2 separate regions of the Mus musculus genome follow, and region 1 is reported to be linked to region 2. The links are microRNA targets in miRTarBase. Many come from high-throughput screens and were not tested one by one. Region 2 holds a microRNA gene; the other region holds the end of a gene's coding sequence.

Region 1 (4,324 bases), not on the chromosome of region 2:
GTAGGTCTCTAGGGGAGGGCCTTTCAAAGTTAAGAGGTTGGCCTATACTGTAGCTTGTGGCTGGCTCCTTTTTAGTTCCCTGGTCCATCATGACTTTGAGTCCCTGCCAAATGTTTTTAGGGAAACTCCAATATGTCTAAAGGGAAAATACCCCACAAACCTCCCCTCTTTGCTACTGTCTTGTATCATGGTCACAGTAACACAGAAACCATTACTTTAGATATTTAGGGTTTGTAAAGAAGCAGCAATGAGACAGAGTGGGTAGTCTTAAAGCACCAAACAATAAAAACATCCCCTCCAAATTTATCTTGACAAGTCACAGATGGAGATAAGCTACTCTAGTCATAATGGCCACCCTCTAAGCTCCATGTACTGCTCTCTTTCAATGTGATATATCAAAACTAGACGGCTTCTGACAGTTCATTTTTTATTACACAGCAGATGTATGAACTAACCAGAGACTAGGACGACTACCTCTTTTAAACAGGAATTCTTTCTACAAAAGGTACTGAAATGGCCTGTCAGATTATTTAGGAATTAGTTCAGGGCAAAGTGGAAATGATATGAAGTTATTTCTCAGAAGTTAGTCAGGACCCCCTGTAACAAGGGCGATTGCTAGCACCGTTTGAGAACATTTATTATTACTAGAAGGTAACAAAGGAAGAGAAGAGCAGCCCTAAGAATTTTCCATTCATGTTTTCAGATAGTAATGACAGAGTAGCTTCTCAAAGGCTTTTGTGGAGCTTAAGTTCTTGATAAGTAGAAATATTTTCTGTATGTCCAGGAAATGTAAACTGTGCACTTTTGGGATGGGTGCCTGTTTTAACAGCTGGGGCTGCTTTTAGCAGATAGAATACGAGATTTTACAAGTTTCTGAAAACACAGCCTTGACTGGCCAGTTGCCTCTACAATGTTTACAAAAGTCTCAGGAGAATCTACTAGTGTATTCCTTAGTCAACTTTGCTCACTCATAAACCAAGGGAGACTTTATTATCTTCCTGAAGGATTTGTGAGGCAGGAGGGGACAATCTCAACTTCAATTTTGAGGTAGGTAAAATACATGACTTTCCAGAATATAACATCCGTTGACCTTTATGGCCACACCATACCTCACAAACTAAGGGACATACAATCCCTAACATAGAATTGTTTTTTGTTTTTTTTTTAAAAAAAAAAAAACACTGTCAAGATCAGTTTAACTCATGATCTCTGAGAAGTTCTACCCTCAATGAATCATCACTCTTCATTTTTTTTTCTAGAATCCTGGGATTATGTCAATAACAAGAATTAGCACATTATACTTCATAGACATTAATTTCATCTTTCATGTACATTATGAATACAGAGAAACAACTCATCTATTTTCAATGGTCACATGCCATACCAATTGTGTAAATGTTTCCTGAAAAAAATATTATTTACAAGTGTTAAATAATTTTCACAAATGGAGGCAAGGATTTGTTTGTCTTTGTAAACTTGGAAGAGTTAATTTATGGAACTCTGTGTCACCCTATGGTACAAGACTAATTTTATTAAGAAGATGAACAAATTTATTATAAATTTATATTCTTACTAACCCCAGCAGGAAACACCTTGAATTGAAACATATATGGTAGTTTCCAGCCTAAGTAGAAAAGGTATCAATAGGACACCATATTGGAATTTTAACTTTTTAAAACTATTAAGACCAATTTGACATGTGTCCTTTTGACTATCTTGCAAGACTACCTGGAAGCAAGACATATCCTGCCCTGTCAATGGCCCAGATAAAGCTAATCAGAAACCAAACAGCAACATAAAACAAATGTGGGGACATGGACTGAAGATTCTAGGGCCAACAAGGCAGCCAGGGAGAACATGTGGACATTGTCAGACCTGAGTCTTAGTGCTCCTCGCCCGCTAAGCTTTGTGTTTACAGTCTGTGTAGATGCCAGCTGCCCGAAGTGCTTTACTGCTCCTCCACACCCCACTCACAAAGACAGCTAAATATTCTGTGGGCTTCACACCTCCCACACGACCCCGTGGCTCAGAAAACAGGAGTCAGTGTTTGTACACCAAAAATGCTAATTGCCTTTCTTTATATGATTCTTTTATCTTTGCAGCTTTCCTACACCCCTAAAGAGCCTGTACTTTAAACGATCAGGACGGTAGTGGCTAGAAATACCTGTCTAGACTGCTCAGTATCTACATACCGCGAAAAGTTGTATGTTACCATGCATATTTCAAGTTAACTATGTCTTCCTCTAATTTCCACCTACATTGTCTAAAATGTCAAACTAAAGAGAACATATTAGATGATTCTTATTCTCTCCATTTTGATATGAGATGCATGTTAACTTAGGAAAAAAGTTGACAACATTTCTGGAAATGTTGTTAGTGATGATGAACAGATGGCCACCCAGAAATCAAAGTGATAGGTGACTACTTACTGTGCACAAATATGGTGACGAGGGAGTCCTACTTTTGGGACACAGTGAAAATCCTTGACCTAATACAAAGCTTAAGGTGAAATTCAGAGTAGAATAATTATCATAAAAATAGACCAGTTTTAACTAGCTGCAGACATCCCAAAAATCTTTTTAAAAACAAGCAACCTCTACAAACCAAGTAGGCGTTCCTAGATGTTAGACTACTACACTGTCCTCCACAGCTTCAAGCACGATGTCAAAGCTGATGGTCTAGCTAGCTCTGGTGGCCATTTGGGCTACACAGTGAAGACTGCAAGTTCAGGGCTTTGTTTTTATAGAAACTTCACTTCTAAGAAAAAAATTTTTTTTTTCTTTTTCAAACTTTTAAAAAGAGCAGTTAAACCCAGTAATTAATTAATAAATGCTATGTATAGTTTTCAGCTAGGATTTAATTCCTCTTTGTTTTGAAACAGTAACTGATTTTCAGCTGAACCTGAAGAAATGTTGGATACAAACTTGTAAGTATCCTTTGATATTCGTCTATTCACATTCTGTGTCAAAGCTGAAATGTACTTAGAGCATAGTACCCAGACTAAAGCAGATATGAGATATGTTTATAACCTACAAAGTTACAAGAGAGATTCCAGTTCAAGCTGACAGAACATACACTAGACTTAAAGCACTGCATTAAGAACACCACAAATACCACCTTTGGGTAACTACGATGGACGTTCTATTTGGAAGACAAGACTACAGAGAACGAAGACTGCACGGTGCTTACTTGCTCACCGCTCACTTGCTGCTTTTCTTTCTAAGGTGCTCTTCGTCACAGTGTGGCAGCTGTATCTTTGTGACTAGAAGCCAACTCTTAGGCTAACTAAAGAAATTCAGAGTTTTGTTTAAAATACTTTAAACACCTGTAATAAACTGCGGAATTTGCCAAGAATAGAGGTACTCTGGTTAGCAATCCAAAGGGTTTAAATATGAATGCAATCCATAAGAACAGTAACAACAACAAAAATAGAACAAGTTTTTTTCTCAATAAAAATAGGCCAGTCGCTAGAAGGTACCATTCTGTGAAGACATTATTTTGAAGCCCTAGTCAAAGGAGCCTTGGAATTTGCCACTGGGTTTCTACTTCGTGCCCGAAGAACCTTATGAAAAGCAGTCCTGACACAACAGAATGACATTTGCAGAATGTAATACTGGAGTGAGAGAACTGAGGTTGATGGATACAATCACATTCCTGTGTATTGAACTGTTACATCTTAATTATTCATTCAGCTCATTGGTCCAATAGCATAAAAATAGAGAACAGCATCTTGAAGTTTATCTCATTCCATGTTCAGAGACAAATGGCTTAACCATTCTTCCCATTATTTTCTGGAGGCAAGTCCTTGTTTACAGTCTGATAGCAAGCACATGCTGGTAGTTTCCAAAGCTACTGTATGAAGAGGATGCTGAAGGCCATCACTATACAGCATATGGCGACATAAGGACTCTTGCGTTCCCCTGTTGAAGAAAAGAAGACATTCCTCTTGGTTGAACGAATGACTACTATGGATATGATAAGGCTATAAGAGAGGAAAAACAAGGACCCAGAGACAACAAGCAAGAAGGTACATTAAAACTTCAGCTCAAGGAAATAAACTTAAGGGATCTAACCCAAATCCAAACCTATTCTTATGATGTACTGTATTCATGTGAGTGATCATGCCACAGTGCACATGTGGAGGTTAGAGGACAACTTCAGAGTGGGTTCTTTCTTTCTGACTTGATATGAATTTTGGATACTTAACTCAAGATTATTAGGCTAGTGCCTCTTCCTGCTGAACTTTGCTGCCACATCATGAGATATTATTATTATTCTAACTCTACTTTGTAGTTTGCAAGTGTGTACTATGTAGATGTCAATG
Region 2 (6,249 bases):
ACTGACTAAAACATCTAGCCAAGACAGTAAGCAGTGGATTTGTAGTATGAGAACTGACACCACCCTAGATGCTCTTAGCTATAGAAGTAATTTCTAAGACTATTTTTTATGTTGAAGACACTATCTTGAATCTTTCCTAAAGGAAAATTACCATCATAAAAGTAGATCATAAATTATAGTACAGGCAGTCACATCTCGAGGGAGAGTGAACAAAGAGATGTATAAACTAGAAGTTGGTTTAGATTATTCCTAGACATTACTCAGCTTACAATATTGAGGTCATTTATTTGGTTATACAATTTCCTGTATCTCAAAATCTGCTTAGGACTTATCAAGAGCTATGGACGTCTAACGTTTTGAAGCTTAAGTAAAAACAACAATGAAAACCCTAGGCAGCAAGCAGAAATATTTTTATATAGACCATAGCAGGTGTGATTAGTTCCAACCATAGTAGAAAAGTCTGGCAAAACAATGACTTCAGTCATCTAAGTCAAGAGACTAAAACTCCAAAGAAAAGTATGACAGAAACAACCCGTGTGTTCTGTCAAATTATTTGAAGTCTTTTTGTTTGTTTGTTTTTTTGTTTTTTCAAGACAGGGTTTCTCTGTATAGCCCTGGCTGTTCTGGAACTCTCTGACTAGGCTGGCCTTGAACTCAGAAATCCGCCTGCCTCTGCCTCCCAAGTGCTAGGGATTAAAGGCGTGAGCCACCACTACCTGGCTCTTATTTGAAGTCTTAACATGAGTTAAAATGGTAACATACCAGACTGAGGAATGTATTATATTGAGAAGCTATCTTCATTATTTACTAAAGCCCAGTAACATTCGATCAGGCCAGGATTATAAGGACTAGTTATATCGACACTACCCTGGGCCAAAGTAGTTGTGTGTGATCTAGACAACTCCATCATACAGGCCAGCATCAGAGCATCTCTCAAACATTTCCCTGATTTTAAATTAAACTTTTCTTTTCCTTTTTCCTTTTTCCTTTGGCTTTCTGAGATCAGGTTTCCCTGTGTAACAGAGCCTTGGTTGTCCTGGACTTGGTTTGTAGATCAGGCTGGCCTCAAACTGCCTGCCTTTGCCTCCTACGTGCTGGGATTAAAGGCGTGCGCCACCACATGCACAAGCATGGGTGTGGTAGTAAGGTGATGGCTGGGCACAGCTGCCTGTGGCTTCAGTTGCAGCCTCTTTGGAAGACTAGATGGGAGGATCCTATGAGTCTATGAGTTCAAGACCACCTTGGACAACATAGCAAGACTCTGGGTCCACAAATAAATGAATAAATAAGCAAAATGAAAGTGATTGTATACAGACCGACATAACACATAAAAATCTAGCCCCCATATATTTGACAAGATGAAATCGTAAGTGTTGACACTAGGCAAACACATCTGAAATGTTTAAAAATAGTCAATAAATCATATACAGATATAGAGATGACTTAAACTATAAAGAATGGGGCGAGCCAGGCAGTGGTGGCACACGCCTTTAATCCCAGCACTTGGGAGGCAGATGAATTTCTGAGTTCGAGGCCGGCGTGGTCTACAGAGTGAGTTCCAGGACAGCCAGGGCTACAGAGAGAAACCCTGTCTCGAAAAACCAAAAAAACCAAAAAACAAAAAAAACAAAAAAAAAAAACAAAAAAAAAACTGTAAAAGCGCAAGTCTTTGTGGGAACACAGGGGTACTAGGAAGTAGATCCTGAGTCTTTTTTTGTTCTGTTTGTTTTTTTTCTGAGACAGGGTTTCTCTGTGTAGCCCTGGCTGTCCTGGAACTCACTCTGTAGACCAGGCTGGCCTCAAACTCAGAAATCCACCTGCCTCTGCCTCCTGAGTGCTGGGATTAAAGGTGTGTGCCACCACGCCCGGCTGGATCCTGAATCTTAAGCAAGCTAGGCAAACATTCTACCCCTGAGTTATACCTGTAGCCCAAAATATGAGTCTTCACTGACAACAGAGGAAGAAGGTTAAAAAAAAAAAAACAATCAAATGTCATTTTAAACAAAAACTTTATATTGGTGGTTTTCAGGCTTGTCAGGATACTTTCTTGCCAATGGATTGGTTTGTGCTGTAACCAACCCTGAAGCTCAAAACAGGATATTTAGGTTGTCTTTTTCCTTTCTTTGGATAGAGATTCTCCTGTTTCTTTGGGTGGCCTAGAACTTGCCATGTCACTGAATTTAAAGTCCTGATCCTCCAGCATGCTGGGTTTATGTGGTGTTGGGGGGAATCTAGGCTGGATGAACACTCTATCAACTGAGCTACAACTCAGCACCCTAATGCTGTCTTCTCATAGAAATTAACCAGACATCACTTTACAGACAACAGAAAATAAGGGGTCAATTATAATTACTTTGGTTAGTGTTAACAGATTTGTACATAGAAATTCACCTATGTGTTTAGTTCATAGAGCTATGTCTACTTGAGAATCTACTCACGCCAACTTAAACAGAAGCTTTCGTTTAAAATCACTTCTGCCATCCTGGTAAACAAAAACACGAGCAGGCACTGGCTTTGAGTTCTTACACAGCCTCAATTATGTGTTAGTCAACCCAAGCATCCATTATGTACTCAATAATAGCTATGACACAGCTCTGGACAACAGCAATGCCATGGAGAGGCAGACACGAGATAGCCTGCTTACACTGCTTTTCCTGGCGGTAACATTTTTAAGCTGCGTGGAAGCCATGAGATCCTGGCTCCCTCATTAGGAACTTTACCCAACAGTGCTTTGACGGCCTGGTAACTTAGAAGAAAATGTAGCATGCCAGTTCTGTTTGTTAGTTGTTATGAACATAAGTTCATGAACACGAAGTTTCTGTTGAGAGCAGCTACATTCCCTTTAAAACTGCATCGGTGTACGCAACAAAGTAAAGAAAAGAAAATTTTAAGACACTGTTAAGGCTTGGGGATATAGCTCAGTTGGTAGAGTGCTTGCCTAGCGCTCAGGAAGCCCTGAGTTCCATCCCTATCTCAGCAAAAAAGTGCTCTCCCAACCCACCCCCACGCCCAGCACGCGCCAGTAATCCCGATACTTTGTGGGGGGGAGGTGGAAGCAGGAGGATCGACAGTTCAAGGCCATCCTCCCCTATACCTCAAGTTCAAGGCCATCCTGCGCTTCAAAAGACCCAGGGTCAAGAAGCAAGATTGCTAAAACAGCAGCGGAGGCGGAGGGAGCTGGTCCTTAAGGAAGGCACGCGCTTGCTTCTAGATTCCGAAGCGTTTTCAAAGCTGGTTACAGTCCTTACCACAGCACACCCTTGTGAGGTAAGTGTATTATCATCTTTGGTTCATAAATGAAAAAGTTGAGGCACTGAGCGTATTAAGTCACTCGCCTAAGGAGTATGAGTCAACGTCAAGAGTCATAGTTGACCCGGTTTAACGACTCCTGACCTTCAGTCCAGGGCTGAGTCAGCGGAGCCCCGAGTGGCTTCCCTGGCTGGCACCTGGACGTAGGCTATTTCCGTCCACGTCCAAGCAGAATACTGGAACCGATTGGACAGAACTTCCAAACTTTCACGTCCAGCAAGATTCACCCCTGACGCCTTCATCTCAGGACTGGGAACAGGAAAAGCCGACGCGTGCACTCCCCTTCCCCAAACGAGTGAGAGGGTACCGTGGGGCAAGCCCGCCCACCCGCTTGGGCAGCGATGGTAGCAAGGGACCACCCGCGTTAGTGGACCGGGGACTGGGGAGACGCAGACCACATCAACGACTCTCCATCGCCGCCTCTTTCAGAAACCAAGAGAAAATGGTGGGAGGCGAAAAGAAAAACTAAATAAAAAGCAACTTGTCTTAGGACCTCAGCTAAGCAAATGAAGCCTTCTTGCGTGTGCTGAGCCTGCAGTTCTCAACCTTCTAGGAAAGATGGGAGGACTGGGCGACAGAAGGCACAGCAGGAATGCCCCGCAGTGAGTGCAACCGGAGCTCTGCCCGCTGCCCAGCAGAGGCCTAAATCCAACTCGGCAGGAAGCGCCCGCGGCGCCGGGAGCCACGCACCCTCGCCAGCGACCACGTGATCACTTTTTTTTTTTTTGGAAGAAAAAAAAAAACTTCTTGCCTTAAGAAAAAAAAAAAAAAAAAAAAAAAAAAAGACTCCACTTCCCAGAAGCCTCTCCTTCCCCAAGCAGCTGCAGTCTTGCGCAGGCGCCGCTAGGGCCAAACGGACACGTCCGTCACGTGGGCAGGAGCCGGCCAATCCGGTTTGAATCTCATTTTTTTCCTCTCGCCCCCCCTTCAGGAGCGGTTGTGCGATCAGATCGATCTAAGATGGCGACTGTGGAACCGGTGAGTATTGCCTTCGGCCCCCACCCCCGAGCTCCCCGCGCTCCGGCTTCCTCCGCTCAGGGACTCCCGCAGGACGGCGTTACCGGCGCGCACGGCGCCTCCCGCCGCGTCCGGTCCCTGCCCGCCCCCGGCCTGACCTTCGGCGGGCAGCCTCGGCGCCGGGAGGCTGGCGGCGGCAGCGTGGAGCGCACACGCCGTGTGGGGGCCCGGGCACCGGGGCGGTGGGGGGAGGGGCGCCGCGCGGGGCCGCGATGCGGCGGGCGGAGGGCGGCTCGGGACACGGGCGCGGGGATCGGCGTGGGGTCCCGGGGTCTCGGGGGGGCGTGGGGCGGGCGGCTCCTAGCGGGCACCGTGGCTGGTGGGCGGCGAGCCGGCCCGAGAGAGCCGGAGAGGGAGCCCGAGGCAGCGGCGCCTCGCCGTCGCCGGCGACCCGCCGCCGGGGGTCCTCGTGCGGGCCGCGCTCTGGAGCTGCGGAGGAGGGTGGGCTGGCGGAGCCCACCGGTGGGCGCGCGGGAGCTGGGCGGGCGCGTCCCGCGGGGAGCCGGGGGCCGTGGCGTTGAGTAGGGGAGCATGCTCAGGGGTCGTGTCGCGCACCTCCCGGCGCCGGGGACAGGGGCCGGCTGAGGTGGGGATCACATTGTCCTGGCCCCTCCACGCCGGGACGGGGCTGTCATGGAGGAGGGAAGGGGGAGGAGCGAGGCCTACAGATCGCCGCCGCGGGTCGGCTGGCCGGAGACCTGCATTTCACACGCGCCGGGCTTTCCATTCATTCATCCTCGGGGCGCAGCGCGCACGCCTCCGAGGACCGGGTAGATTCTTCCGCTCTTAAGCCACCACCAGATCGTCTGGGAGATAGCCAACGAACACTTAATTTTAGAAATAGGAACTTTCAAGATTACCTTTTCTTAAATTAAAAGAAAAAACATTTTTTTTTAAAGCATGGTGGGGGCAGTGGCGCGAGCCGCGACTTGCGAGTGGAGGTCAGAGGACAGCTTTTAGAGTCCCGAGGATCGAGATTCAGGCGCTTTTCTCGAACCATCACTTAAGCTCATCAGCATTTGCTTTTCCATTTGATGTTTCCTTCTTAACTTTATACTGCTTCCCTCTTAATGAAAGCGCTATTTTGAAATTAATTGAAGCAAGATGCACATAGAGCATCACGGCGTAACTCCGGTAGCCCGAAGGTGGTGATTTTTTTTTTTTTTTTTTCTTCTGTCATGGTTTGGGTTTGCCAGCAGCTGGCTCACTGGCCATCCATCGCAGGTTTTTTTTTTTTTTTTTAAGGAATGTCACACATGTGTGAAAGTCTCAGGCGCATAAAGGCATAGACTAGCAACCAGAAACCTCTGTAGAACACCTTTGCCAGATGTTTTAAAACTCACCGATAGACTGAATATGAATAATTTGATATGTTTGCAAAATGGCCTTATCTTGGCAAAATTCAAGACAACTTTTTGGGAGTGGAGACATGATTTACTTGTTCTTTATTGACATCAGTTTTCCTGGCATTTTGCAAAACTGCATCATAAGTTGTTGGTGAAATTAACTTTAGAATATCAATGTAAGAGCAAGAGGGGAAGCATTTAAATGTAACCTAGACTCTTGACAAGTTCTCCTGTCTCCTGATTGAATCTTCTACTTTTCTCTACCAGTGTTAGAGGAAAATATTACAGATAATAATAGAGGCAAAGCTAAGCAATAAACAGCAATGTGTTCTATGACATCTCAGTTCCACTTAAGTCTTGGATTGTGCTAAAGCCACAATGTAGTCATTGGATTTTGTTCTGAGTCAGTACTTAGGAGTTGCTGATAGTTTTGGGTGGGTACAGAGTGATATCTAGGATACAAAGTTATATTAAATGTGGTCTGTGCTTTGTTCCTCGTCAGTGTCTGGGTCAGAGGTGAAATACTCTTCCTAGTGATGGCAGGGTTGATGTGGATAGTGTGTAAATTTAAGGACAA

What was found. Region 2 holds the annotated microRNA mmu-miR-1956 (AGUCCAGGGCUGAGUCAGCGGA, at 3,398-3,419, shown strand). A microRNA usually pairs through its seed, bases 2 to 8, with sites in the 3' UTR of a target mRNA and lowers its output. Matches are read on the target gene's strand: a 7mer-m8 pairs with bases 2 to 8, a 7mer-A1 pairs with bases 2 to 7 and ends in A, and an 8mer does both.
Region 1: miRTarBase lists Tmem167 as a target of mmu-miR-1956. Seed matches in the 3' UTR shown: 8mer at 778-785.

Annotation. Positions count from the first base shown.
Region 1 is chr13:90,103,971-90,108,294 of GRCm38, reverse strand. It overlaps Tmem167 (transmembrane protein 167), which reads right to left. Exons shown (of 4, transcript NM_025335.3): 4 at 1-3,920. The coding sequence ends at 3,850. Among named protein-coding and RNA genes, the nearest start is that of Gm24507, 7.2 kb to the right of the region's middle.
Region 2 is chr3:138,523,028-138,529,276 of GRCm38, forward strand. It overlaps Mir1956 (microRNA 1956), which reads left to right and starts at 3,394; the gene lies at 3,394-3,458. Eif4e (eukaryotic translation initiation factor 4E) reads left to right here and starts at 3,164. Exons shown (of 8, transcript NM_007917.4): 1 at 3,164-3,267; 2 at 4,241-4,287. The coding sequence starts at 4,270.